Xenopus tropicalis: one gene and its partners. The protein of the gene in region 1 interacts with the protein of each later gene in a biochemical or structural test. Links are inferred from orthologs where the notes say so. Each region holds a gene or a part of one and is shown in the gene's direction. Other genes may lie near its edges. The genes, in order: smurf1, ube2m, plekho1 and axin1.

Region 1 (7,375 bases):
GATATATATATCAGTTTGGTTACAGATTTGTAGCAGATTTTTAAAAGGGTAGCTCAAATTAAAATGTAATTTTAGAATGTATTATGTATTGTAAAACCGTTTATCATATCTTTATAAATGTTTCAGAACTCATCCCCCCAAAGAAAGCTTTCATCACAATAAAAAGTTGGGGGTTTTATAGTTATTTTGTTAAACTGGATAGAATTAAACAGCAATGTGGAAAGAGCCTTGACATGCTAGCAAGAAAAAAAAACAGATATTAACTTGCAGTAATGTAGCTGATTTTCTATGTTTTAAGCAATGAAATATTTTATCATAGAAAATGTAGTGACCTTATGATTAGAACATCAACGATTGATTTATTTTTTATTGAACGCCCCTAAAAACCTTCAAGGTTTGACAATTTTTTCAAGAACAAAATATTATTTCAACAAAATATTTTAACAGGTTATTTGTATTTATCTTTCTATTCCTTCTTACTTTTAGTTTAGATTTTTTTTACTTACTGGTGTTTAAAACTGGCATCATTTTTTTGTGACAGAGCCAAAATGTGTTATGAAACTTTTTGTCTGCATAGTTTCTATCAAGGCTGTAGTTTTATAATCCGATAATCTGCCCATATGCAGGAGTCCTATAGGCAGATAATGAAGATGAGACCGAAAGACCTTAAGAAAAGATTGATGGTGAAATTTCGTGGGGAAGAAGGACTTGACTATGGTGGAGTGGCCAGGTATTGTCCTACTTATCATGTACTGATGGTGGGCCTAAAATATTTACTGTGTATGACTTATACAGTGATGTTTATTATACACTATCCCAAATTATGGGCTGCATTTTTACTTTGTGCTATGTTAGACAAGAAATACCTCTTAATACCTTTTACCCTTTTGTAAATATCACAACCAAACATTCCCCCCCATCTGGACAGTTGTCTCATATTCTTAGTATTTTAATGCTGGTCTTTACATAGTAATATAGTAAGTTAGGTTGAAAAAAGACGTACGTCCATCACGTTCAACCATAATGCCTATATATAACCTGCCTAACTGCTAGTTGACCCAGAGGAAGGCAAAAAACCCCATCTGATGCCTCTCTAGCAACAAATATGTAACAATACAAATATAACAAAATATACAAATATATAATTTTTTTTTTTTTTTTTTAACGCATCAGTTAATAGAGCTTCTCCAGCTGAATCCTGCATTGAAATCCATTTTTCAAAAACGCAAACAGATTTTTTTTTTTTTGTATTTAATATTGTAACACTGGCTCCTTCTGAAAGTTCAGACTCAGGTACAATGCACTGAGATGGCGGCCTACACACCAGTTTTACAAATGTAAGAAATACTTTTAAATATATTTTTTAGATAACTCTTGTGGAAAAGTGCACTGGGTTCCACAGTCTTGGTTTCATCTGTACTTTTTAATTACTTGCCCCCATGTAATTAATAAAAGGCACACATTTGCCGAGTTGCAGTAAACCATAGAAACCAATAAAATATTTTAATTTAAACATGTACTCAGGAAATAGTACCTGTCCTTTGGTAGCTAAGGGCATTGGCACATGGGGAGATTTGCGGGCTAAGTTAAACCCCCCACATAAAGATGTAATCAGTGAACAGCCTCTTTGTAATTTTTAAATACCTACCACTCTGGTTGTTGAAAGCTTAATAGTAAGGCTGAAGCATCCACTTATATGTGCTCCTGTAATAGCATCAAACTTTAAAAAAACAAAAAGAAGGAAACCTGAAAGCAGAACTTGGCTGCAATTAAAGGAACAGTAACACATAAATATTTAAATACCGTATAAGTCACAAAACAGCTCTAATATTAGGTCTAGCCTTTCCCCCCTTGCCTTTTTTAAATGCTTCGTGTAGAATTTTAGTGACGAACTGCTCCATAGCAGCACGGCGAAAAGGCGACGGGTGCTTGAATTCCTGTGTACACTGACCCGAAAGTTGTCTTCGTGTCGGAGGACCTTCGGCACTTAAGCTCTTTATCAGCTTATGTATGATTGGATGATTTAGCAATATTGTTGTACATTAACAACTTAAAATGACTGCAAGAAAGATTGTTATACCACTTCACTAACTATGGAATTAAAGTCTAAATTGAATTGAATTCCTTTAGAAAATTTGTTGTTTTTTAGATTATTATAGCAGAAGTGGGGAACATAAAAGGCAAAAGCTGTGCAAGGTACTAGTGGCAAAGAGATCCCTTGTCTTTCACAGTTTAGGGTGAGATCTGTTTGAAAAGAGGACTTAATCCTAAATATATCCTCTCTACATTTTGAATGTTATATTTTTTTAAATACTAATCTTGTAGTATTTATTTACAGGCCATGATCCACCATAGGAAACTGTCCCTATTAATTTCTTGCCTGTATCTGTCATATTCAGTGATGTTTTGCTGACATTAAGGGTCAGCAGACAAGGAGATTAAAATGGTTATGATAAAATGCTGTTATGTGCAAGGGAGTATATTATATGCTCTTGCATAGCAGTTTAGAAGAGCCCTGTAATACTATATCCTTCACTTACCTTATTATATATCCATTAGTTATAAATAGAAAAAAAAATAGCTACTGGCTTCATATGTATCATGAAGTTAACATTCAGGACCAACCTTATTAGAATTAAGTCGATTATCATTATGTAAAGTTATGTTTTATAATTCACAAAACCAGTTAAAAAAAAATTTCAGAACATTTGGCTTTTTGGTGTTTGGCATTTGGTGTTTGTATGCTTTAGTAAAAAGTTTAAATTTCATAAAGTTCATAAAGTTTCATAAAAAAAAGAAAAAGCTATTGCTATGTATTTTGTGTTTTCAGAGAACAGCTCAGATTGTCTGTTCATTCTTGATGTGATTCTTTTAAACAGGGAGTGGCTGTATTTACTATGCCATGAAATGCTGAATCCATATTATGGACTTTTCCAATATTCTACAGACAATATTTATACTCTGCAAATTAATCCTGATTCATCTATTAATCCAGTAAGTGTTAAACCTGACATTGTGGTCAGCTGACAGGTAGTGGCAAATTGGGACACTTTGCTGCGGTGAGCTACAAACAAATTAACTTAGAAATTTACTTTTTTTTTGTGGGAAACTAGCCATAATTGACTTGTTTTTCAAAAACAACAAAATCTTTTATGCAGAAGATGCTGCTACTAATTATTAATGTATAGTATGATGCTCATTGGATCTTTTAGTGGCCACAGCAAAATGGCTGAAAAAAATTATAAGCAGTTTGACAGTAAAAATTTTAACATATTAATTCTATCTGGCGAGTACTAAAGCATTGATGCAATAAAGAAGCTGTGCAAACTACCATATTTTTTTAAGAATAGCTGCAGTTGAATATCTGGTTGAAAATTGGTCAGGTGTCAATTTGACAAGTTTGATTTTTTTTTTTTTTTTTTTTTTTAAATTGGATAAGGGACTGCATCGGCAACTAGGAAATTAGTACTTGCCATCCATAGGTTAACCTACACAATATTAAAATAACTGCAGATCATAATTTTGCAGAACAACATAAGTGTTCAGTTGAGCAGCTAACATCATGGGCCATTTGTATGGACACCTGACAATTGGAGGTGCTCGCTAAAATGTTACGCTTCAAATCTCCGAAGCTCACAAAATGCTTTAGTTGGCAAGCTTTGTTCTTTTGGACAGCAGGGCTCAAGGTAATGGACACAATGTGTGTTTAAGGTAGATTCTTCCCATTTTCTTACCTGCCTTTACCTAGTATTAATTGCCAGAGAGGACTGAGATACATCTAATAATTCTGCTGATTTAGTTTAATCTAAAATCAAAACTCAGATACAAAGTCAATTTACTCTGTTTCCACTCTGCTCTACAGGATCATTTATCTTATTTCCATTTTGTTGGTCGAATCATGGGATTGGCTGTGTTTCATGGACACTACATTAATGGGGGGTTTACAGTTCCTTTCTACAAACAACTTTTGGGAAAGCCCATTCAGCTGTCTGACTTGGAATCTGTGGATCCAGAGCTGCATAAAAGCTTGGTTTGGATTTTGTAAGTATTTTTGTTAAGATATTTTGGTCTCTAAGGATCTTATGTTCCCTTTAAGCCAGAGCTCCCCCAACCTATTTTAGTTGCATTGTAAGCCACATTCAAGTTTAAAAAGTGTTTGAGAGCTACTTAGTCATAAAAAAAATATTGTGCAGGCTGCAAAATAAAGACTGGGTTGGCTTTTTCATAGAACTATATAGACTACCTGCCTGTAGCAGCCCATGTTTACCAGAACATTTTTTTGGCTTCCAAGACTTGGCCAGCATTTGTTAAATGAGCACCTTTGAAGTTACTGCATGCAGCATTTAAAGGGGTGTCAAGAAATGTGGTTTACAGGCCAGTAGCTAGGTATCACTGCTCTAACCTGTGTGCTTATATACAAACACAACAAGTTATGATACTTGCACATACAGAGCTTAGTAGAGGAACAACAGACAACTCTATATGCAGTAATATTCTGGCAGATATCCTACGGCCAATAGTACATTACATGATTTTGGGAGTTTTATCCGGGTGCTCTTACAGTAGGTAAAGTTAGACCTTTTCTAAAGTTACACATTGGCAGTAAAATTGGTAAATTTAAATAACATTTTTTTTTTTTTATTATTTTGGCAGTGATTTTGCTGTTTAGGGTCAAAGGACATGTACGTGTTGTCACTTATGTGAAATTTCCTCTCCTGCTGGCCAACAAAAAATCCAAAATTTACCTTTTCATTCAGAGGTTTATTCCCCCCATGTAAAACACTTTACATGCAGTGATCCGGCCTTATTGTGGGAAAATCCATATTTTGACCTTTAACGTAGAACAGTTGCACTCGCTAAACAAGCATAATGATCTTCCCTACCCTGCTCTGTGTGTGAGATAGGTAAGTGAGGTGGGAGGAGGCAGCATCAGCCTTGGTAGCAGAACACTAGAAAGCACTATACTTTGTGCAAAATCCCACCAACACTGGTGTCTTTCCTGTATGTGTCCCAGTGTGACATTACTTAGCAATTTATTTAGTAGATCAGGGTTTTGTTTTTTTTTGCATAGTAGGGGCAACTGACTGGTTTGAAATTCTGCAGATGGATGCCAGGTTCTTACAGAGACTTCAGATTGCCTAAACACACTGCGTAAGCTTAAATGTGATTTGTGTAATTGGTCTGCATCTCAGTTGTTGTTGTTGTAAAATGTCAATATATACACGGTAACACCATAACTTTTTTTTGAATTTTATAGCTGTAGTGGAAGGTATGCTATGTGCGATGTAAATATAATCGTGCCCTGTGGTACCGAGGGCCAGAATTTCTCTGGCAAACATGGTGGAGGGCCAAAAACGGAAGTCAGTTTTAGCCACTGCCCTTTTTATACTACATCCATATTAACACAAACATTTTGAAGACAAATGGTTGGTGTTTACTGCAGGGATATCGCCTAACACTCATATGTGAAAAAAAGTTAATTAAGTCATATTAAGACATACCCTTAAATTCATATGCTGCCTCCTCCCCTGTGGACAGCACAGCAACCCCAGCACCTAATTAAACACCTTAGGGACCCCTAACCACTATTTCCAAAAGCTAATAAACTCCTTAAACAAACCCCTGCCAGGTTCACCTCCCACAGGTGGCATAGGGTAGGCGCAGTATGGCACACAGGCAGCATAGGGCAGGCAGAGTATGGCACACACAGGCAGCATAACTGTATATCTGAGGTGGGAACAATCAATGCCCCATTGATTGTTCCCACCTTAGATATACAGTTATGCTGCCTGTGTGTGCCATACTCTGCCTGCCCTATGCTGCCTGTGTGTGCCATACTCTGCCTGACCTATGCTGCCTTGTGGGGCTTGTGATTGTAAATAATGGATGAGGCTTACAGGTGTGGACAATGCAATGGCTTACAGGTGTGAACATTACAGGGGCTTACAGCCTGAATCTGAGGTGTGAACAATGTAGAGGGGGGGTAGATAATCTCAGTACTGATGCAATTTACAGTCACAGCTGCCAGACAAATGGGGGGGCCACAAAAAGGGGGTCCGCCAGTTTTACAGCATTTCTCTATAGTATAGAAATCCCCCCCTCCTCGGCCACTCTCCTGCCTGAGAGCAGGTGATGCGATTTACCTGCATTAAAGAATAAATAAACATTAAAAAAAAAAAAAAGAATCTCTAAAAATAACCCCCAGAATTTCATACCTTCCCTCTCTGTTTTGGACTTGAAGAATCCAGCACAAAAGCACAAATCTGCAGAAAGGATAATCTGCCTCCTATTTATAGTGATGAGCGAATCTGTCCCATTTTGCTTCCCCCAAAAATTTGCGAAATATTTGCAAAATGGCGCAAAATTTATGGAATGCAATAAATGATGCACACATCAAAAAATTATTGCAAATCTATGCCTGGCGAAAAATGTCACTCATCACTACCTATTTCAGCATGAAGCTTCAACCCCTATAGTCTACTTCGCTCTGCTTTTATTTCTGCCTGGTTTAATTGGTCAGGGATGTTTTTACATAAGCACAAATCTGCAGCAATAATAATCCACTTTCTGTTCAGCATGAAGCCCAGTGGCCCCATATCCATATTGATGTCCCCTTAGATAAGGGGATCTGAGAAGTATCATTGCATAGATTTACAATGTGTGTAAAGCACAAAGAATATCCAGTCAAACCAGGTGACATCTAAATTATTTTTAGCAATAGCACCATTAATCTTCTAAACCTTTGTTATACAACCTTGTTTTATCATTGTTACTGTTATGAAGAACACACATTTGGGGAAACAGCGTATGCCTTAATTAAGCTAAAAAAAATGTAATGTACAATTACTGTTTCGATTTCCTTCTATATTACTGCTTTAGAGAGAATGACATTACTTCAGTATTAGACCACACGTTCTGTGTTGAGCACAATGCATTTGGCCGACTCCTCCAGCATGAATTGAAACCAAATGGCAAGAACTTACAAGTAACAGAAGAAAATAAGAAAGAGTATGTGAGGTATGTTACTAACATTATAAAATATATCATATGTATGTTTTGTGCATATTTATTGTACCAATGTCGATTGGGTGGACAACATATCTGGCAAACCCAGGTATGGCCAACTAGCATTAGTTTATTGCCTAGGGTGTATACATGTACTTTATGTCTGTTGTGTTCGTCCACATCAGCAGGTTTTTTTAAAATCTTGCATCTATGAGTCATGTAGTGTAAGCTGCAGTCCTAAAAGCTCTATTAATTACTAAAAAGGGAAGAAAATCTTGAAAACAAGTCAAATTTATATGTATTTATTTGTGTTAATTTCATTTTCTTACAGGTTGTATGTTAATTGGAGGTTCATGAGAGGGATAGAGGC
Region 2 (8,001 bases), on another chromosome or scaffold:
TGCAGCGACCATTGTGATAAAGTGGGTGTGGTTTAAAATTAGGGAGTGGCCAAAACTGGCTTCCATTAGCGGCCCTTCACCATGTACGCGAGAGAAATTCCAGCCCTCAGCACCGCAGAAGTTGGACAGCATTGGCCTAAAGGAATAATGGTCTGAGACTATTGGGACTTAAAGGGGTTGTTTGCTTTGATGTAGGGCTTGATATTTTAAGACCATTCATCCTTATTTTTATTTTTTTCTTTGTTTAATTATTTAGCTTTTTGTTCAGCAGCTCTCCAGTTTAGAATTTCAGCATATATCTGGTTGCTGGGGTTCAGAGTCCTCTAGCAACCAGACAGTGGTTTGAATGAGAAACTGGGCTATAAATAGGAGACAGGCTGAATAGAAAAGATAAGTCATAAAAAGCCTTACAGAGCAATAGGTTTTGGCTGCTGGAGTCAGTGACCCCCTTTTGAAACCTGAAGAAAAAGGCAAATAATTCAGAAACTATAGAAAAAAAAAAAATTAAGACCAATTGACATTGCTATTCTACAGCATACTAAAAAGTTAACTTAAATCTGAACTTCGGTCCAACTGAATTTCTGAGGGATGAACTGAAACAGTATCTACAAGTCATCCTTGAGCACCCAACCTGACTTAAAGCAACTAATGGTAAGAGTATTGGGCAGATTTGCTGTCTTTCTTCCTGTATTTAGCTCATGTGTATCTTATCCTAGTGATAGTAGGCCCATAAGGAGGCATTACCTCAAATACAGCAACTTATGTTGTATAGGTATTTGCTATATGGATTTTAATGAGGACACTAATGGGATGGGCTGATATGAATATGTATGGACTTATTGTTACATCATGCATTATATTATACGTAACACATTGTGTTACAAAATAGTTTCCCTTTGTCATAGTTACAGCATATGAACATGAAATAAAACATGTAGGGTACAGGGCTCAGGTGCAGAATGGGCAGCTGGTTGGCTGGCACAGAACTTTGAGGCAGTGGCATAAATAGATGTTACTGGGCACCACCGCAATTTAGGCAATAGAAGTTCTATTCTACCAAGATATATTGAAATTGCTCAATAATTAGGGCTGTACTGGGCCTCTACATTCCTAAGCTCCCCCCACCAAAAGTGTTGGTGAGCCACACTAACATAAAAAAGTTCTTTGGGGATGCCAAATAAGGGCTGTGATTGGCTATTTGGTAGCCCCATGTGGACTGCTAGCCTGCAGGAAGCTCTGCATGGAGTAAAACTCTGTGATTCCAAAACTTGCCTTCAAGACAGAAATGCAAAAATGGCTACCTACTTTGAGGCCTCTGGGAGTTACATCAAAGGGTGTGGTGAGGGACATGTTGCTTATGAGCCACTGGTTGGGGAACACTGATCTAGGGTCACACTTCCCAGGAAGGCAAATATTTTGTGCCATGTTGGTTCTGTTTTATTCCATGAAGAGCAAATGACTCACGCTGTTCTGCATGGGCATTAAGGTCAGCAGCTAATCGGCCCGTGTATGGGCACTACCGACGGGCCTGGCCGACCGATATCTGACCTGAAATCGGACAGATATCGTGCAGGTTAAAAAATCTAGTCAGATCGGGGACTGCATCGGCTCGTTGATGCGGTCCCTGGACCAACTTTGTCTATACCCGTCATTGTAATTCGATCATTTCGCCCCAGGGTCCCCCGTAGGTGGGGATATCGGGAGAAGATCCGCTCGCTTGGCATCATCGCCAAGGGAGCAGATCTGAAGGCGTACGGGGACCTTAAAGCTACCACCTTCTTCTAATCTTAGGGTTTCTATTGAGGCAGGGCTAGAATAGGGAACATTGAAGCTGAAAGGGCTGGGGAACCAAAAGCTAGAGGCATTTCCTGTAATGGCCTCGGTCAGAATAAGCTATATTGCTAAAGACATGTATCTGGGGGCCTGACAAATGGAAGCAATGTAGTGTAGCATGGGCTAGCGGGCCCAACATTGTATTGTTTCCCAATACTTAGCAACTAAACTAAAACCTGTGTATGTGTGAGGAAATATGCAGATATAAGATATATCTTATAAGATTTTGACGGCGGCCGTATAAAGGTCTCCACAGAATACTCGATAGAACGTTTAGGTATTGTTTCCAAAGTGGAAGCTCTAAGCGTTCTCAATCAACTGCTCCCCGAACGTTTCCAAGTCCCCTCACAATTTCGGTGCCACGATTGCTTCCGGAACCTCCCGATGTCCCAAGCCCGAGTGTTGGCGGAACTAGCCGAGTACTTCCGAAAGCTCCGGATTCCCCAGCGCAAGCGCTTCCGAAGCTGCGCAGTAGCTGCATCTTCTGCCTAGAAGCAGAGCGGCCGCAGAGCTGAGTGTTTCCGATACCTGCCGGGCAGCTCACGGAAGAGGCAGCACTGATAAAGGCGAGAAGCCTTAGCTGGTAGCGGCCGTGAGAACCGGCACCAAGGAGCTGCTCACCCGGATCTAAGCTCCCGACTAGTAGCTCTGTCCGTCAGGTGTGCGGGCCCCGAGAGACGATTAGACCCCAGTGCTGCGGCCTGTCTCCCCCCGGCCTGTGTGTGGCGAGAGAGAGAAAAGGGACGGAGGGGAGGGAGGCTGGGAGCTTCCCCCAGTGCGGGACATAGGGAGAGCAGGAGGGGGTTGAGGGAGGTGCGGGCCCGCAGGGGGGACATCCAGCAAGATGATCAAACTCTTCTCCCTCAAGCAGCAGAAGAAGGAGGAGGAATCTGCAGGGGGAACTAAAGGCAGCAGTAAAAAGGCCTCAGCCGCTCAACTTCGCATTCAGAAAGGTAACCTGGAGCCTTGTATCACCCCGCCGCTAGGGGGAGCCCTGGGGTATCCTGCCCCTGCTCAAGGGGCGCTCTGTTCTTTGCTTTCTCAGTATAAAGCCCGTGTTGGCCACTTATTTATGTCTTTATTTTCTCTCTCTCTCTGTCCAGCAGGGCAGAACTCTGGTACAATGCCTGCACTATTCTGCTTTCAGCCCCACAATTTTGTCATTCCATTTATATCAAAGGGGAACACGTACATACTAACTGCTAGTTTGGTTCAAATTCAGTTTAATTATTGGTGTAATTGCAACAGATTTTTCTCTGCTTTTCTCTTTGCAACAAACTCGCTAAAGTCAGCCACGGAATCAATGGTCCCTCTCTTTACTTCTTGGCTTTGAGCGCAAAAAAATTTTTTTTTGTGTGCACACTTACAATTTGTGCGCACATTTTTATGAACTGTGTGCTGAGGTCATAATAAATACAAAATGCTCAATTTGTTGGCCTCGACATTTGTGTGAGCACACAGTTTAGAGGGAACATTGCGCAGAATCCAGGGCTAGAACGCAACCTTGTGTGGCTTTCCTCATCAATGGAACTTTTCCTGGTTTGCTCTGGGGCAAGGCCATGTACTTGTTTATAAGGCGTGAAACAAGAGGGTTGGGGCTACACCTCATGGTGAATCAAAGTAAAACTACTAAATATGGGATTGATCAATGCAAATGATGTAAATCTAATCATATTTCTCCTAGGCTGGCACCTCCCTGCTGGCTTGTTTCCTAGGAATAGTGCCTCCTGCCCAAAGCAATGGTCTCGCAGACTGATCCTGCCCCCTCTATGGGCTATTAAAGAGGAGAGATCTTCAACAGCCATTTTTAAGGCATAAGGCCACCATTAAAGGGAATGGTGTATATGTGTTACAGCCACATGGAAGTCTGGCTTTCCTTCTTGCTAAATAATCCAGCTAATACAAATAATGGGGGTTTAGAGGACAATTGACTGGCATCTCATGACATGCTACCAATTAGGGAGGTGCAAACCTATGAAAAACAGAGGTAAATAGATAGCGCCACCACATGGGGCTTATATAGATATAGGGGGGGGTGGCTTTGTAAGGATCATAACCTTACTGTCATAACCTATGGGACCTGTGTATGTGCATTGATCAATCCCTTTTCTTTCTTTTTTCCACAGAAGGGGGAATGATACCAACGCAGACATGCAAGGTCTTTTTCCTCTTGACCCCATACAGGTTTAGGGCTATGGCATTTTGATTCGTGCTATAAGTAGTGGCAAGCCGAACAGTAAGGGCTGTGACACACGGGGAGATTAGTTGCCGAACGACTAATCTCCCCAAAATGCCATCCTGCCGGCTAGAATGTAAATCTCCTGTGGGATGGCATACACAGCACCGAAATTTGCAGAAGTCGCGGAAGTTGCCTTGAGAGGAAACTTCCACGACTTCGGCAAATCACGGTGCACGTATGCCATCCCACCGGCAATTTACATTCTAGCCGGTGGGATGGCATTTCGGGGAGATTAGTTGCCCCTGACAAGGGAGATTTGTTGCGCGGCGACTAATCACAGACCTAGGGCTTAAGGGTTATTGAGTCCTAATGCTAGCAGGAGGTAGGGCTCCGAGTAACTATGGCTGTGCCAGTCACCCTTTGTTTGGGCTTCACCCATGGGTCAGCTCTTTTGTTTGTCACAGTGTGCAGTGATTCACCTTAATCATTGGCATTTTCAGCCTCAGTATTTGTGGTGATCAGAAGTGGGGTGCTCTGATCCATAGTTGATCCATGGGCAGTCTGCCTTTCAGAGGTGATAACCTCCATGCCATGCATTGCTGTGTGCTCAGTAGGGAGGCATCCCATAAACTAACAAGACCAGTTGTTCCCCACTCTGGTGAAGGAGTTGGTTCTGAGGATCCTTGTGTCTATGTCAGTATAGGGGAACTATTATCCAAACAAAAATGTGACTTTTTGTGGCCTCTGCCCATGGGGAAAGGCAAACGTGTATGTATTGATTTACATGTGTAACAGGGCATGCATATGTTTGCATTAGCCCAAACCTGACACTGCCCGAACCCCTTGTACCTCAAGATGAAACCTCTGAAATCTATCATTTACATTGTTTGGTCGGCACAGCATATTGGCAAGCTGCAGCTTTGTGCCACCCCTAAGATCTTATCCAGCTGTTAGTAAATAAGCACTTCTTATAGCCAGCCACTTCATGCACCTACAGTATGTGAGTTACCTTGCAATGGGCCCCATGCATTCCATAATTCCCAACCCTTCCCTCATAACACACTGCCCTAATTTACAAGATTTATTTTTTTTCTTCTGGAACTTAGGGCTTTGACTTTTTTTTACTTTTCTCCACCCAAAAAAACTGTTTATTGCATAATAAAAGAAACTATAACTCTAAGCAGCTTTCCAATGTACATTCATAACACAGTCTCGCTGGTTGCTTAGTTAATGCCATAGAAACTAGCGATTGTTTCTCCCTATTTGTCCTCTGCTTCTGACTCTTGAAAGAATGTAGCAGAAGTCAGTTCTCTACCAGCTCTGTTAGTCAGCTGGCTTCATCACCATTGATTCAGGAGTCAGAATCAGCAGTGCAGAGAATGTTAACAGCCAAAAAGATACTGCTTTCAGCAATTACATTCACATACGCAATTAAAATGACTGAGAGTGTGTAATGAATTTATAATGGAAAGTTGCTTAGAATTCAATTTCTTTCATTAATTAAAAAAACTCTTTGGGTGAAGGATCCCTTTAAGTTCAGCTTTGTGTTGCTGCTAGTTTTTTTCATTTAAATTGTACCATTTTTTCTTATTATACGTGTTTAGCTATTAGGCGTACAGGGTATATAGGGGCAGAGGAAGGTTCCAGTACATACTGTCAGTAGAGAATTGCAGTAATGCTGAGGCCTAAGAGCACCCTCGGTATAGTGCAGCTCTGAGCCCTGCCTTCATGGTTACATTATAAAGAGGCGTGGGATTTACATATTTGTGGAATGAGAAAATACTGCCCTTACTGCTAGCTTAGACTTTCCTTGTTTTGTAACAATTGGTTAAAGGGAGGACAAAGAAAGGAGAGAGCATCTGAACCCAACATTTTTATATTTTAATTTTTTTTTTTCAAAATTCCTGCTATAAGCTGCTTTATGAAGCTCTCTGTACAGAGCCATATGCAGTTAATATAACAGACACAAACCACTACTCGCCTCCACACAGTGCTGAAGGTGCCCAGCGTACATGCGTAAATGTTGAACAGCTCTTGCTTGTGGCCAAAGATTGACTTGTTTGGGACCAATTGATTGCTCAGAGACAGTCTCTGGAAAGTGCTGCCCAATCAATCAGTGCTATATAAAAAAGGGTAATTCATAAATGGGGACAAAACTGATGAGATCATTCCTTGCCCTTTGATCAAATCTGTTTCTATTTTAGAACCTGCATTGTATGTAGCAAAGCCAAATGTGACGTAGTTACTAATGTCCGTTTCTGTGCCTGTGTTCCAGATATTAACGAACTGAATTTGCCGAAGACATGTGAAATAGAGTTCTCAGACCACGATGATCTCTTAAATTTCAAATTAGTCATCTGCCCTGATGAGGTTAGTATATGTGCCATTGTTTTGCTCTTGCAACGGTTTGAGTAAGTTGTAGCTTTTACCACTAAAGCTGGGGCTGGATTAGAGGTTTTAGACTACAGGTTACAGGGGCTAGATGTTCAGGCTGCATTTATCTATATGCCAGAAATCTGCCCCATGTGGCCATTACACATTTTGGTGCCAAAATCCGCTCCATGATGTATGACCTTTACCCAGGCTGACAGTGGTTCTGGGGCAGGTACATGGAAAGGCTGTTAGGATTATAGGGACTGCAGGCTGAGAATCAGTCCATGTGGCCATAGCCATAAGTTTCTGTATAAGCACCGCATGAAAGAGCTTTGCTACATTCTCTAGCATCAGCAGCACCTATGGGCTTACTAATCATTTAGGGAAACACTGGGCCTTGAGTTTTGGGAGCACCACTGTACTTTGCAGAGCAACCAGTTAATACAGTACTCACAGTGATGGCACCAATGACAAAATGGAGGTTACTGTGGCAAACAGGGCCATATATTCCCAACTTTAGAGAAACCATTGTAAATAAGTCTTTAGATGGGATACCCTCTTATCTGAAGAGCAACTAAGGCAACTATGTTGGGTCCAAGGCATTTAATGTCTTCTGTATAACATAATAAATATGCAGTATCTCCGTTGTATTCAATAGTGCCACATACACCATATAATATGCACACCATATAATATACAGGAGGCATATACTGAGACTGTGGGCACCCACTGTTGTTGGGCCCCAGTCAGCCCTTCCCTTCTGCCTCCACACCATTTGGCTCCTTTAATAATTCTTTAGGGGACTTTGATAAACTGGCGTATTTAGCAGATTGATATTTCAGGGGTCAGGTATGTATATTGCATTTTATAGTGCTTTCAGGGGAATACTAAATGTCAACAAATGTATATTATGTGTATATATATGTATTCTGCAACTAATGGGTAGAACAACACTGAAATAGAAGGCTTTTGTCCCCTTTGTTCTGGGATTAGGTGTGCCATTTGTTCCAGATGTGCAATGGTCACATCCTGTATAACATATGCTAAATCTTTCTTATATTTGCCATAGTTAATACATTTATAAAACCAGTTATACTGATAGTTGTTTTGTGAATTATTTTTGAAGGGCAGTTAGTGTATGAATATGTATTCTCAAACTGTTTACAACAGCCATATGGGCTAAAATACTTGCTTTGCTTCCATTTTCCTTCTCTACAATGCCTTGGGATAAGCCTGCCGCTTCCTGGGGTAACTAAGGGGGACCAGGCAGATAAAGGGTACATAGTATATACATGTGAAGAATTTTCCTATACATAGCCCAAGGTTCGTCATGGGGTAGAAGTGACAGAGTTGAGTGGAGCAGAGTTTTTGGTATTTATGTACAGTTTGCATGTATGTCAGATCTGCTTAATGAATTGCATTTTAGTAGTGCTTTAATTTGTTCTTTTTCTGTTAAAAAGTCATATATAGAAATATTAGTTACTAACCTGTGCCTGCTCCTCCTACTGATTTACATGTGCCCATTTACAGGCTGATAATGGAACCCTAACCTCTATGTTTTCTCTTTATTATCTAAGGGTTTCTACAAGGGTGGAAAATTTGTGTTCAGTTTTAAG
Region 3 (7,847 bases), on another chromosome or scaffold:
TTGCTTTTAGTGGTTTTATTCCATTTGATTTCAGTTGTTCTAGAAAGGTCCAGAGGTGCTAAGTTCAGATTGTTCTGGTAGTTTCTATTGCCAAAGGTTAACTCCTGGTCATCTCTTGCTGGCTTGAGTTTATCAAAAGGTTACAGTGAGTTTTTTTTTTCTAGCTTCTCCTATTACAAGTGTTCTCCTATTACATTATTACATCATTACAAGTGTTGTCTTGCTTTTTTTTTTTTTTTTTTTTGCTTGCTTGTTTTGACTTTGCCTGCTGATTGCTAGATTTGTAGTTGTCTGTATATTTCTGGCACAATGGCCAAACGGTTTTACAGCACAGAGGAAGCTGCTAGGTATTGCATGGACTCCAGCTCAGAAGAATTTAGCGATTCTGGGTCTGAGTATGTTCCATCTGACCACTCTACTGAGGAATCAGAGATAGACGATAGTGACACGGTTAGCGCAGAGTTTAGTAGTGGTGGCACGCTTACTGCTGAAGAGGCAGAGGCTAGTGGTAGTGCCCAAGATGTACCCATGGATGTAGAAGAGGGTGAGGGTAGCACTGATGCAGCAGTTGGAGAGCCTGCGTGGGGGCCTCCCTGTAATTATGTCCCTGAAATTCCCCCTTTCACTGCAGTCCCTGGCCTCAGTGTGGACACCACTAATTTTGAAATTATAGATTTTTTTAATCTCTATATTACAGAGGCCATCCTACAGGACATGGTCCGTTACACAAATTTGTATGCTGAGCAGTATCTTGCCAGCAACCCTTTACCGGGTTTTTCAAGAGCCCAGGCATGGTATCCCACAAATATAAACGAAATAAAAAGATTCCTGGCTCTTACATTGGCAATGGGACTCGTAGAACGTAATTCTTTAGCTTCCTACTGGGATACCAATACAGTCCTTTCCATCCCTCTTTTTTCAGCCGTTATGGCAAGAAACCGTTATCAAATTTTATTGCGGTTTCTTCACTTTAACGACAACACAACGGCTGTTGCCCCTAATGAGCCCGGTTATGACAGGCTTTATAAATTGAGGCCCCTTATAGATAGCCTGTCTCAGCGCTTCGCAGAGGTTTACACCCCCTCCCAAAATGTCTGTGTAGATGAGTCCCTTTTGCTCTTCAAAGGGCGCCTAAAATTTCGCCAATATATCCCTAGTAAGCGTTCTCGCTATGGGATTAAATTTTACAAACTCTGTGAAAGCAGCACGGGCTACACTAGTTATTTCATGCTGTATGAGGGAAAGGACACTAATTTGGACCCCCCCGGTTGTCCCACTGACTTGACTACCAGTGGTAAAATTGTTTGGGAGCTCATAACTCCACTGCTGGGCCGAGGTTACCACTTATACGTGGATAACTTTTACACAGGCATCCCTTTATTTAGAGCCCTAAATTCTTTGGACACCCCAGCCTGCGGCACAGTCCACCGTAACCGCAAAGGACTGCCCAGGGAATTGCTGGATAAGAAACTGAAGCGTGGAGAAGTACATGCTCTAAGAAGCAATGAGCTCTTGGCCATAAAATATTCAGACACCAAAGTTGTTCTTATGCTTACTACTATCCACGATGAGACCATGATTGTCCAACACAGAAGTGGCGGTAGGCCCTCAAAAACAAAGCCCCTGTGTAGTAAAGAATATAGTAAGCATATGGGTGGTGTTGATAAATCCGACCAAATACAACATTATTATAATGCCACCCGAAAAACCAGGGCCTGGTACAAAAAAGCAGCAATTTATATGATCCAAATGGCCCTTTATAATTCTTATGTCGTTTACAAGGCGGCAGTACCAGGCCCCAGATTGTCTTATTATAATTATTTGCTGCAGTTGCTCCCTGCCTTGTTGTTTGGTGATGTAGAGGAGGTTCCTGACATGCCAGGTAATGACAATGTTGCCCGAATGGTGGGTAAGCATTTTATAGCACAAATTCCACCAACACCTAATAAAAGATATGCCCAGAGAAAATGTAAGGTTTGCCGTTCCAAGGGTGTTAGGCGAGATGTCCGGTATTATTGTCCCAAGTGTCCTAGCAAGCCTGCTTTGTGTTTCCACCCATGTTTTGAAGTGTACCATACTGTGGTACACTATGAGAGGACTTGAATTTTGTGTTTTTATAGGTAGGTTATGGTTCTCTGGGTTTGTTGGTGGAATAAGGATTTAGCATATCAGAATAGTGGACTTGGCATGTTCTAGGTTTTTATGCACAAGGTTGCAGGCCTCCAAACTTAGCTGTGCTGGCAAAGTGACGCTGTTTTTTATTTATTGAGTTTATCTATTCTGGCAGGTCCGTACTTTACTTATAACTAGGTTATAGATATATGTGATGAAAAGTTTGGTAAGGTGTGTCATATTATTGGCAAAAGTTTTTTTTTTTTTTAGTAAAGTAGGGTTTTATGGTATGTGATTTTGTTTTTTGCACAGGTTGTCAGAAAAACAGTGTGTGCTTGTAGCTTGTGGTTGTTTAGACTTGTTCTTGGGCATTCAGATTTTTGTGTTTGAGCTATGGTTATTCAGGCTAGTTGCAGTGTTTCTTTGGTTATGGGGTAGGACTTGTATTGTGCTGTTGGTATAGCGAACTGAGGTGCTGGGTGACTGACAGGGCGCATGATAAAACTTGTGGTGTGTGATGAATCAATGAGATGTTTTTATCTCTAAAGCTGATGCCACAAGTCCTTTTACTGGCACCTCAAAAGCATGCCTGTCAGCGCAGTTATCTGTGCATAGTTTTGTATTATATACTTTGTATTTCTGGGCAGCATTTAACTACTGTAAGTGTAGGCCTTAAGTTTTTTGCAAAGGTTCTTGAGCACAGGATGACAGATACATTACGGTTTTTTGTGCTTGTAGTACAAATTGAATATCTACTGTATGTTCTGGTTAGGTTACACAAGTTGCAGTGGCTCTCTAAATATAAAAACTTTGCGTAATACTGGTGTGCCACTGGTGACTGCTGCACGGCACGTAATGGTGCACATAATTTTATCTCTGATGCTAATGCCCCAAGCTTTATTGTTGGCACCTTTAGTGCAACTTCTAAGGACACTTGCATCATTTATGGGCCAAATTACTATTGATTTTTTTGGCAAATATCCTTCTAAATGTGGTGCAGATTTTGTCATTTCTAAAGTAGTGTAGGAAGAAGCAAAAAACTGGTATCATAACACCACAGGAAAGATGGAACTCAAATCAAAGATGCTCCGCTAAACTGAAATAGGTGAGTAAAGTACAATTTAGGGGTTTATTTGGGGGGGGGGGGTTAAAGTTAAAAAACTGCAAGGGGTGCATAGAGTGCAGCCCCAATATTATGCATTTTCAGGTTTGGCGGCCATGTACTTATGTGCAACCAGACATATGGGGTGTAATTTTATTCAGGGTAACTTGCTAATTGATACTGAGCAAGTTTTTTGATAGTTGCCATTGAGATTTTGGGGAGAAATCTAACTTTATATTTTTTTTCAGACTAAAGTCCAGCTTGTATAGGGAACTGCATCCACAATTTTGCCTGTAGAAAACCAAGAATGGTGTTTCTAAATAGCTGAAGTTGTCTATTTCAATGTATAGTTTATATGGGTTTTTTCACAGGTAAGGGGCAATTTTGTCTGAAAAACTTTGAGATGTGCACATAAATTGCAGCCCCATTATTATGCATTGCCCCTGTTTTGGGGCATTTGGTGGCTGCATCTTTATGTGCACCCATACATATGGCATATCGTTTTATTCAGGGGAACTTGCAGATTGATGTTTAGTAAGTTTTTGGTAGTTGCCATGGAGATTTTGGGGAGAAATCTAGGTTTGTATCTGGTTTTTCCTTGATTTCTGACCAAAGCGCTGACTTCTGCAAGGGACCACGGCCACAATTTTCCATGTAGAAAGAGGAGAGTGGTGTCTCTGAATAGCTGAAGTTGTCTATTTTTAATCAATGTATAGTTTATATGGGTTTTTTCACAGGTAAGGGGCAATTTTGTCTGAAAAACTTTGAGATGTGCACATAAATTGCAGCCCCATTGTAATGCATTGCCCCTGTTTTGGGGCATTTGGTGGCCACGTCTTTATGTGCACCCATACATATGGGGTATCGTTTTATTCAGGGGAACTTGCAGATTGATGTTTAGTAAGTTTTTGGTAGTTGCCATGGAGATTTTGGGGAGAAATCTAGGTTTGTATCTGTTTTTTTCTTGATTTCTGACCAAAGCGCTGACTTCTGCAAGGGACTGCGGCCACAATTTTCCATGTAGAAAGAGGAGAGTGGTGTTTCTGAATAGCTGAAGGTGTGCACTTTTCAGAAATATATAGTTTGTGGGGGTTATTTTACAGGTAGGGGGGTTAACACTGAAAAACTGCAGGAAGTGCACATAGAGTGCAGCCCCCAAAATTTCAACTGAAATTGCCCTTATGCATTGCCCCTGTTTTGGGGCATTTGGTGGCCACGTCTTTATGTGCACCCATACATATGGGGTATCGTTTTATTCAGGGGAACTTGCAGATTGATGTTTAGTAAGTTTTTGGTAGTTGCCATGGAGATTTTGGGGAGAAATCTAGGTTTGTATCTGTTTTTTTCTTGATTTCTGACCAAAGCGCTGACTTCTGCAAGGGACTGCGGCCACAATTTTCCATGTAGAAAGAGGAGAGTGGTGTTTCTGAATAGCTGAAGGTGTGCACTTTTCAGAAATATATAGTTTGTGGGGGTTATTTTACAGGTAGGGGGGGTTAACACTGAAAAACTGCAGGAAGTGCACATAGAGTGCAGCCCCCAAAATTTCAACTGAAATTGCCCTTATGCATTGCCCCTGTTTTGGGGCATTTGGTGGCCACGTCTTTATGTGCACCCATACATATGGGGTATCGTTTTATTCAGGGGAACTTGCAGATTGATGTTTAGTAAGTTTTTGGTAGTTGCCATGGAGATTTTGGGGAGAAATCTAGGTTTGTATCTGTTTTTTTCTTGATTTCTGACCAAAGCGCTGACTTCTGCAAGGGACTGTGGCCACAATTTTCCATGTAGAAAGAGGAGAGTGGTGTTTCTGAATAGCTGAAGGTGTGCACTTTTCAGAAATATATAGTTTGTGGGGGTTATTTTACAGGTAGGGGGGGTTAACACTGAAAAACTGCAGGAAGTGCACATAGAGCGCAGCCCCCAAAATTTCAACTGAAATTGCCCTTATGCATTGCCCCTGTTTTGGGGCATTTGGTGGCCACGTCTTTATGTGCACCCATACATATGGGGTATCGTTTTATTCAGGGGAACTTGCAGATTGATGTTTAGTAAGTTTTTAGTAGTTGCCATGGAGATTTTGGGGAGAAATCTAGGTTTGTATCTGTTTTTTTCTTGATTTCTGACCAAAGTGCTGACTTCTGCAAGGGACTGCGGCCACAATTTTCCATGTAGAAAGAGGAGAGTGGCGTCTCTGAATAGCTGAAGGTGTGCACTTTTCAGAAATATATAGTTTGTGGGGGTTATTTTACAGGTAGGGGGGGTTAACACTGAAAAACTGCAGGAAGTGCACATAGAGCGCAGCCCCCAAAATTTCAACTGAAATTGCCCTTATGCATTGCCCCTGTTTTGGGGCATTTGGTGGCCACGTCTTTATGTGCACCCATACATATGGGGTATCGTTTTATTCAGGGGAACTTGCAGATTGATGTTTAGTAAGTTTTTAGTAGTTGCCATGGAGATTTTGGGGAGAAATCTAGGTTTGTATCTGTTTTTTTCTTGATTTCTGACCAAAGTGCTGACTTCTGCAAGGGACTGCGGCCACAATTTTCCATGTAGAAAGAGGAGAGTGGTGTCTCTGAATAGCTGAAGGTGTGCACTTTTCAGAAATATATAGTTTGTGGGGGTTATTTTACAGGTAGGGGGGGTTAACACTGAAAAACTGCAGGAAGTGCACATAGAGCGCAGCCCCCAAAATTTCAACTGAAATTGCCCTTATGCATTGCCCCTGTTTTGGGGCATTTGGTGGCCACGTCTTTATGTGCACCCATACATATGGGGTATCGTTTTATTCAGGGGAACTTGCAGATTGATGTTTAGTAAGTTTTTAGTAGTTGCCATGGAGATTTTGGGGAGAAATCTAGGTTTGTATCTGTTTTTTTCTTGATTTCTGACCAAAGCGCTGACTTCTGCAAGGGACTGCGGCCACAATTTTCCATGTAGAAAGAGGAGAGTGGTGTTTCTGAATAGCTGAAGGTGTGCACTTTTCAGAAATATATAGTTTGTGGGGGTTATTTTACAGGTAGGGGGGGTTAACACTGAAAAACTGCAGGAAGTGCACATAGAGTGCAGCCCCCAAAATTTCAACTGAAATTGCCCTTATGCATTGCCCCTGTTTTGGGGCATTTGGTGGCCACGTCTTTATGTGCACCCATACATATGGGGTATCGTTTTATTCAGGGGAACTTGCAGATTGATGTTTAGTAAGTTTTTAGTAGTTGCCATGGAGATTTTGGGGAGAAATCTAGGTTTGTATCTGTTTTTTTCTTGATTTCTGACCAAAGCGCTGACTTCTGCAAGGGACTGCGGCCACAATTTTCCATGTAGAAAGAGGAGAGTGGTGTTTCTGAATAGCTGAAGGTGTGCACTTTTCAGAAATATATAGTTTGTGGGGGTTATTTTACAGGTAGGGGGGGTTAACACTGAAAAACTGCAGGAAGTGCACATAGAGTGCAGCCCCCAAAATTTCAACTGAAATTGCCCTTATGCATTGCCCCTGTTTTGGGGCATTTGGTGGCCACGTCTTTATGTGCTCCCATACATATGGGGTATCGTTTTATTCAGGGGAACTTGCAGATTGATGTTTAGTAAGTTTTTAGTAGTTGCCATGGAGATTTTGGGGAGAAATCTAGGTTTGTATCTGTTTTTTTCTTGATTTCTGACCAAAGCGCTGACTTCTGCAAGGGACTGCGGCCACAATTTTCCATGTAGAAAGAGGAGAGTGGTGTCTCTGAATAGCTGAAGGTGTGCACTTTTCAGAAATATATAGTTTGTGGGGGTTATTTTACAGGTAGGGGGGGTTAACACTGAAAAACTGCAGGAAGTGCACATAGAGCGCAGCCCCCAAAATTTCAACTGAAATTGCCCTTATGCATTGCCCCTGTTTTGGGGCATTTGGTGGCCACGTCTTTATGTGCACCCATACATATGGGGTATCGTTTTATTCAGGGGAACTTGCAGATTGATGTTTAGTAAGTTTTTGGTAGTTGCCATGGAGATTTTGGGGAGAAATCTAGGTTTGTATCTGTTTTTTTCTTGATTTCTGACCAAAGTGCTGACTTCTGCAAGGGACTGCGGCCACAATTTTCCATGTAGAAAGAGGAGAGTGGCGTCTGTGAATAGCTGAAGGTGTGCACTTTTCAGACATATATAGTTTGTGGGGGTTATTTCACAAGTAGGGGGGTTAACACTGAAAAACTGCAGGTAGTGCACATGGAGCACAGCACCCACATTTTTAGCTGTAATTGCCCTTGTGCATTGCCCCTGCTTTGGAGTGTTTGATGCCCATGTCTTTATGTGCACCCATACATATGGGGCATCATTTTATTCAGGAGAAGTTTGTCTTTCAAATTTGCCTTTGTTAGAAAATTTTTATGACATTTTTTTTGTCAAATCCACATTTGATCATGCGTCCAAGTTTACGTTTTAGAAAAAAAAAAAAATGTCAAAAAAAGTTCCAAATTTCACAATGCACTGACAAAAGGTATTTGGCTTTTGAGTGAAAACTACATTGCACCTGGAAACCTGAAGGTCTGTAGTTTCTAAAGATACCAAACATGAGGGGATATTCTAGATTTACATATAAGTTATGCTGCATCAACTGTTACAAGCGCTTTTCCGCTTTGTTCTGGTG
Region 4 (7,375 bases), about 32 Mb from region 1:
ACTAGTAGCAGCTACTTGTCACGGCTACTATTATAGACAATGCTGATCATTTACTGATAATTGTCTCTACGTGTGTTTTAGCAGAGGCAATTCTCTGTATTGTCTATGGCAGGGGATTTTCTAGAGTTTAGTAGCCATGAAAAAGTAGCTGCTACTAGTAGCTCAGTGTGTCTTCACCCTAAGGGTAAAGACACACGGAGCTACTAGTAGCAGCTACTTGTCACGGCTACAAAAATAGACAATGCTGATCATTTACTGATAATTGTCTCTACGTGTGTTTTAACAGAGGCAATTCTCAGTATTGTCAGGGTATTTTCTGGTGTTTTGCAGCCATGACAAGAAGCTGCTACTAAGTAGCTCCATGTGTCTTCACCCTTAGGGTGAAGACACAGAACTACTAGTAGCTGCCACTGCCATAGACAGTGGTTTTGAAGTTATGTGTAAATGTAATTGGTATGGAAAAACGCTGCCTGGATGTTTGTATTCTCTGCACTGCTGGCTCTGACTTCTGCATAGCGGGGTGATGGGAGTTGTTTCACTAGCAAATGCACTGTGGCTACAAACGCTGGAGAATCAGCAGCAGTGCAGTATTAGGGTGAAGACACACGGAGCTACTAGTAGCAGCTACTTGTCATGGCTACAAAAATAAACAATGCTGATCATTTACTGATAATTGTCTCTGCGTGTGTTTTAGCAGAGGCAATTCTTAGTATTGTCAGGGTGTTTTCTGGTGTTTTGCAGCCATGACAAGAAGCTGCTACTAAGTAGCTCCATGTGTCTTCACCCTTAGGTAGCTGCCACTGCCATAGACAATACTGAGAATTGTCTTCTAAAACACACATAGAGACAATTATCAGTAAATTATCAGCATTGTCTATTTTAGTTGCTGCTACTAGTAGCTCTGAGTGTCTTGACCATTAAATCGATCATGGTGGGAATTGTATTCTGTGGGTTGTCCGGCAGTTTCACCATGGGTGGGAATTGTAGTTCAGCAAGGTGTTTATTGACCATTGCTCACTGTGTTCCATCACCTACCTTGGGCTTCTCACCCTTAAGGAAACAGGGGGGCTGCTGTGGCAATACCCGCAGGGCCACAGGTTGCTCATTGCTGCTGTAGGGACTAAGCCAGTTTATGTGTGGGTTGGGGGTATGATTGGCTTTATAGTTTTCGTTACAACTGCAGTTTTATGTAAGAAATGCTAAGGTACCGTGGGAGTGTGGGGTATTGTCAGTTCATGCATTAGCACTTTCCATGGTGCCCAATATATATTGGGGGCAGAAGTTCTCCGCATTCTGTGCATGTCAGAATCTGAATGCCGTAGCCAGACGCCTTGGGGGTGTGGGGGACCCTGTTTCTTGTGTTCCTACCTGCCTACCTGATCCATCGGCACCCAGTGCTTGGTATATTACTGATATATACTGATCATTTGCAAATAATCCTGCAAGGCTGTGTGCCCACTCCTGACTTATTATATCTGCTTTTGGTCTGACCAAAGAAATCTATCCTCATTGTTGGGGGGGAAATGTCTATTTATAAAAAAAAAAAAAGTGAATATATGTGTAATGTGATGTGTGTAAAAAAGAAAATATATATGTATAGTATATATCAAATTGGAATTAGAACTCTCAGGACCAGCAACTTCTTTGTTATATAATATTTGTATTTTTGACACATTATACAGAAGTCTTATAGTTATCAAGGAGAGATAGATATTTAAAATATATTTTCGTTGTAACTGACATGTAACTGTAAGCAGTATATACATTCATAAATGTCATTGGTTTTGAAGTTATGTGTAAATGTAATTGGTATGGAAAAACGCTGCCTGGGTGTTTGTATTCTCTGCACTGCTGGCTCTGACTTCTGAATCAGTATAGCAGAAACTATCGAGAGCAGAACTAACTTGTTTCAGGAGTCGGAACCAGAGAAAAGGAATGCAGACACATGTAGCTGGCTAGAAAGAGGATTTTTACACTGTGTGTGTGGCGAGTTAGTCTATTATAGCCCCCACTGGAAACAGTAAAAGGGATTGCCGGGCAGAAGGTGATGTCGCCTAGTGGTGCTGAGGAGTAGAACGTGAGCAGTTGCATGTCTTGGGATGGGTAATATAGTATTTTAGTGTCCCTGGTTATTGCTTTATGCTGTTTATCTCTGCGGCACGGTTCAAAGTACCAATAGCTTTAATGGCCCTGGCAATAGCAGGTTCATTCATTCAGATACAGCCTATCTGGGTATGCCTCGAGCAGGGGGGGAATCCCAGGGAGCCTCTAAGTCTGATACACAAGAACATTTGGCGTCACACTCACGAACACACCTTGCGAGCAACCCTTGTCCTCTGCAGTATCCAGCTGTATTGTGCCTTGCTGGCTATGGGTAATTGTGGCTGGGCAGTTAGTGATGGCCGCTGCAATATCCAGCTGTATTGTGCCTTGCTGGCTATGGGTAATAGTGGCTGGGCAGTTAGTGATGGCCGCTGCAATATCCAGCTGTATTGTGCCTTGCTGGCTATGGGTAATTGTGGCTGGGCAGTCAATGATGGCCTCTGCAATATCCAGCTGTATTGTGCCTTGCTGGCTATGGGTAATTGTGGCTGGGCAGTCAATGATGGCCGCTGCAATATCCAGCTGTATTGTGCCTTGCTGGCTATGGGTAATTGTATCTGGGCAGTCAATGATGGCTGCTGCAATATCCAGCTGTATTGTGCCTTGCTGGCTATGGGTAATTGTGGCTGGGCAGTCAATGATGGCCGCTGCAATATCCAGCTGTATTGTGCCTTGCTGGCTATGGGTAATTGTATCTGGGCAGTCAATGATGGCTGCTGCAATATCCAGCTGTATTGTGCCTTGCTGGCTATGGGTAATTGTGGCTGGGCAGTTAACGATGCCCGCTATGCTTGCTATTATGTGCTATTGCTACAGCTGCTTTCTAGCTGGCACGCTTCCTCTGGTCTTCAAGCTCACTACACGTTCAGTCCCAACTGGGTGTGTGACTATATTATGAACAGTGGCTGCAAGTTGTTTTTGCATTCAAAAATTAGTGTCACTGCTGCAGTTGCCCAACGAGGACTGGCATTGTCACAGGTTTTCACTAAAGCTTCTATTGTGTTACTCAACTGCAATAAACCCAACTGCCGGTCTGTGATAGTCGTGTAAGATAAGTCCATTTCTGTTTGGCAATTGTCGCTTTCATTGCTGGCCCCAGACTATTTGCAGCTTAACCTTGGCAGCAGTGGCATCCCAGAGGATCACTTGCCAGCCACACACTTCAAATACGCACTTCCATAATTCATTCATGTTGGGCTCTTGACTAGGTAAATGGAAATGGCATTCTGTTTATCGCTTTTTGCTTTCTGGTTCTGACTCTTGAAACAATGTAACATATGTCGGTTATCCTCAGGGTCTTGTTAGTGAGCTGGCTTCTGCTGCATTTTTAGGAGACAGAACCAGCAGTGCAAAGACTCAGAACTGCCCCACAGATTCTGTTATTAACAAAAGTTACACTAAGGGTGAAGACACACGGGCTACTAGTATTTGCTACTTTTTCACAGCTACTAAACAACATAAAATACCCTGCCAATAGACAACTGAGAATTGCCTCTTCTAAGGGCAGTGGCAAATGGGGAGATTAGTTGCGCCGTGACAGATCTTCGTTACTGCGGGCGACTAATCTCCCCGCAATACCATCCCACTGGCAAGAACGTAAATTGCCAATGGGATGGCATACGTGATGATTCATTTTCCCGAAGTTGCCTCTCAAGAAAACTTTGGGCGACTTCAGGAAAACTAAGTGACGTGTATGCCATCCCACCGCCGATTTACATTCATGCCGGTAGGTTGGCATTGCGAGGAGATTAAGACACATGTAGAGACAGTTATCAGTAAATGATCAGCATTGTCTATTTTAGTAGCAGGGACAAGTAGCTGCTACTAGTAGCTCTGTGTGTCTTCACCCTGCAGATAACTCTAAAGCCACTAAATATGTGTCATGAATGTAATAGGAAAGTTGCTTAGAATTATATTTGTTTTTATTAGGTGTAAATACTGTTTTGGGTGGAGTTCCCCTTTAATGAAATGCAACAGTATAATGAGTAAGCGGAACTTAATTATCTTTTTCCTACTGACTTCTAAATGTTTCTTTGTTTTTTTTTCTTGGCAGGAGGCATACTTTTACCTGGGACCTTCTATTTACGATGTCCATATTCTGAATCAGTGTTTTATTCATCACTGTGTATACAAACGCCATCAAAATGAGTGTCAAAGGGAAAGGTTTCCCTTTGGACCTAGGGGGAAGCTTTACTGAAGATGCACCTAGGCCACCAGTTCCTGGCGAGGAAGGAGAACTGATTACAACAGATCAAAGACCCTTCAGCCACAGTTACTACTCTCTGAAAAACGATGGGATCAAAAACGAAACCTCAACAGCCACCCCTAGGAGACCAGACCTAGACTTGGGCTATGAGCCTGAAGGTAGTGCTTCCCCGACACCTCCGTACCTAAAATGGGCTGAGTCGTTGCACTCTCTTTTGGACGATCAGGATGGGATTAACTTGTTCAGGACTTTTTTGCAACAAGAGAACTGTGCGGACCTGCTGGACTTCTGGTTTGCATGCAGCGGCTTTCGGAAGCTGGAACCCAACGACTCAAAAGTGGAGAAGAGACTAAAACTGGCAAAAGCCATTTACAAAAAATACATTCTGGACAGCAACGGCATCGTGTCACGGCAGATCAAACCAGCGACCAAAAGCTTCATAAAAGATTGCGTTTTGAGGCAACAGATAGACCCAGCTATGTTTGACCAGGCCCAAACGGAAATCCAGTCCATGATGGAGGACAATACATATCCTGTGTTCCTTAAATCAGATACATATTTAGAATATACAACTATTGGTGGGGAAAGTCCTAAAAATTACAGTGATCAGAGCTCGGCATCTGGGACGGGGAAAGGGCCTTCTGGATATTTACCTACTCTAAATGAAGATGAGGAATGGAGGTGTGACCAAGGAGGGGAACTCGAAAGGGAGAGGGATTCTGTTCCCTCCAGCTTATTTACCCAGAAGCTTGTTTTAGACAGTTCGTCCCATTGTGTGGGGCCTAATAGAAGATTAAGTGACGGCAGAGAATTCAGGTATGTTTGTAAACTGTATGGAGGCACCAAGGTGTAGTTGCACAATGCACAATCCTGGCCACATAAGGGCCATTCATGGGATTGTGGAAATTGTTGCTTTCTGCATGTTCCTAGTCACATGATAACTGTGTTTGTGTTTGAAAGATATTTTATTCTAGCTACCAGCAGCATAGCAGCAATTTTTCTAAATATGAATGTGTGCAAATAATAAGCAATATAGCCTTAGTTGTAAAAAATAAGTATAGAAGGAGTCCTGTGCCCATATAAAGGCTTGAAGGTTTACTTTTTATGCTGATCATGGCTGTGCAGCCTGTTACGGTGACAGGTGGATTTCTTTCCAGAAACATTTGGGAGTTTTTGGGCCAAAATCAGAGAAAGGTGAATGATAAAGTGGAGAAGTGCCTGAACTTTATGTGCCATGAAATTTTCTTTCTGCATTTTGCAATTGGAGAGCTTTAGATGCTGTGTTTCTTAGGTTTTTTGGCACATTGACGTAAAGGCACAGAGCTCACCTTAGAATTAAGGTTTAGTGTGATGTTTATATTTATGCTTTTATATTCTTTGTGGTTAATGATTTATTTCAACTGCAGTTATGTACCAGGTCCAGTTTGGCTTCCGCTTTTATCTAGATGTGTGGGTCCTAATTAAAGGAGACATGTAGGATAAGCTAAAAAAGATTATTTTATAGGCAATTATGAATAATATATGGTACTGGTTTCACTTTGGTCAAAAAATTATTACTGTCTGTAAAAATGGCCCCTTTATTGGAGCGATAGATCCTCTCAGGTCTCTGTCTGTGTTTCAAATGAGGGGTGGGTGTGGCCTAACTGTCCCTGCCAGAAGCACAGTAGGAGGGAAAGTGCCTGTATGACTGCAGGGCTATGACTGGCTAAAGGTGGCCATACACGTTAAGATACCTTCGCTTGGCGAGGTCGAATTTAGGCTAATTCGGTTGTTTGGCCCTGGGACCAAATGATCGAATTAGAGCGCCGCAATAGGCGCATTCGTTTCGGGGTCCGAATCAACAAGCCGATGCGGTCCCAGATCCAACTACATTTTTAAACCTTCCCAATAGATATCTGGCCGATTTCAGGCCAGACGTCGGTCGGGCAGGCCTGTCATTTATGCCCATACACGGGCCGATAAGCTGCCGAGTCTGTCTAAGGGACCGATATCAGCAGCTACAGTCGGCCCGTGTATGGGGACCTTAAGACAGGCTTCAGTTCCCTATCAGGTCAGCCTATTGGGTCCCCCCTGCACAGCCTGGGAAAGGAGGCAGAAGGAAGAGGGACAGATGGGTGGGACTAATGGGGTTTTTGGAGAAAATTTCAATTAATCAGCCGGAAACACTACTTTTTAAAGCACATTCCTTCTGTATTAAGATGAGTACAATTCATTGGCACAATGTTGTTTTTCACACACTATGTTCCCTTTAAGGTGGCCATACACAGGCAGATTTAAGCCCTTCAGACCAATTGGGCAGCTCATCTGCCCAGGTATGGTGTCCCACCTTAGGTCGGCATATCTGGGGGATGATTTGCCTGTTTGGCGAGGTCATGAAACAAGTGGATCTTAACGTTAAGCTGAAAATTGGAACAAGAAGCAATAAAAAAAAAAAAAAAAAAATTCAATAACAATATAAATGTACCTGTGGGATTATTCTTGTTGCCGGGGTCAGTGGACCGGACAACCAGGCAGCATTTTAAATAGAAGTAGAATTTAAATATTGTTTGAGTGGCAACACTGATGAAGCCAATACAAGGATTACTCATTGGTTTATCATTGCCTATGTTACTAAGCAGCCTTATTACATAAAGTAAAATAAAACACCATATTTTCTCTGCGCTATATGCTAATGTTACAAATCCTAATAGGGTTGTGTTTGTGTGAGACACCGCAGCTTAATATGGGGTGGGGTGCACTTTAAAGAGGGACCTGTTACCCTAAAAAATCTAAATTAAGGCAAACTTTGTATCACCCCAAAATCTTGTGCTTTTACCATCCAGGTGATATCTGGAAAGTTAAAGTAATTGTAATTAAAAATCTGAGCTATCAATCATATATTGCCTACGGCATAGAGGCGGGGCAGGCAATATATGATTGACAGCTCAGATTTTTAAATACATTTAAAACAAAAAAAAATTTGGGTTTCATGTTTAATTTTTAAAGGTCTTTTACTATACAGGTTTGGGATCCCTTATCCAGAAAGCTCCGAATTATGGAAAGCTTGTCTCCCATAGACTCCATATT

Evidence for each region.
Region 2: the proteins of smurf1 (region 1) and ube2m form a complex in vitro, tested with the Homo sapiens proteins (2 studies listed by BioGRID). The link is inferred for Xenopus tropicalis from reciprocal best matches to the Homo sapiens genes SMURF1 and UBE2M.
Region 3: the proteins of smurf1 (region 1) and plekho1 form a complex in vitro, tested with the Homo sapiens proteins (4 studies listed by BioGRID and IntAct). The link is inferred for Xenopus tropicalis from reciprocal best matches to the Homo sapiens genes SMURF1 and PLEKHO1.
Region 4: of the proteins of smurf1 (region 1) and axin1, one has a biochemical effect on the other in vitro, tested with the Homo sapiens proteins (2 studies listed by BioGRID, with this or other methods). The link is inferred for Xenopus tropicalis from reciprocal best matches to the Homo sapiens genes SMURF1 and AXIN1.

What each region holds. Positions count from the first base shown.
Region 1 is NC_030685.2:47,057,770-47,065,144, reverse strand, and holds part of smurf1 (E3 ubiquitin-protein ligase SMURF1), read left to right. Parts: intron 1-626; coding exon 627-730; intron 731-2,879; coding exon 2,880-2,994; intron 2,995-3,862; coding exon 3,863-4,041; intron 4,042-6,879; coding exon 6,880-7,017; intron 7,018-7,336; coding exon 7,337-7,375. UniProt on the Homo sapiens protein: E3 ubiquitin-protein ligase that acts as a negative regulator of BMP signaling pathway. Mediates ubiquitination and degradation of SMAD1 and SMAD5, 2 receptor-regulated SMADs specific for the BMP pathway.
Region 2 is NC_030683.2:103,008,508-103,016,508, forward strand, and holds the start of ube2m (NEDD8-conjugating enzyme Ubc12), read left to right. Parts: upstream 1-2,532; 5' UTR 2,533-2,677; coding exon 2,678-2,786; intron 2,787-6,287; coding exon 6,288-6,382; intron 6,383-7,962; coding exon 7,963-8,001.
Region 3 is NC_030684.2:129,081,559-129,089,405, forward strand, and holds the start of plekho1 (pleckstrin homology domain-containing family O member 1), read left to right. Parts: upstream 1-3,195; 5' UTR 3,196-3,217; intron 3,218-7,847. UniProt on the Homo sapiens protein: Plays a role in the regulation of the actin cytoskeleton through its interactions with actin capping protein (CP).
Region 4 is NC_030685.2:15,096,493-15,103,867, reverse strand, and holds part of axin1 (axin-1), read left to right. Parts: intron 1-4,156; 5' UTR 4,157-4,247; coding exon 4,248-5,125; intron 5,126-7,375. UniProt on the Homo sapiens protein: Component of the beta-catenin destruction complex required for regulating CTNNB1 levels through phosphorylation and ubiquitination, and modulating Wnt-signaling.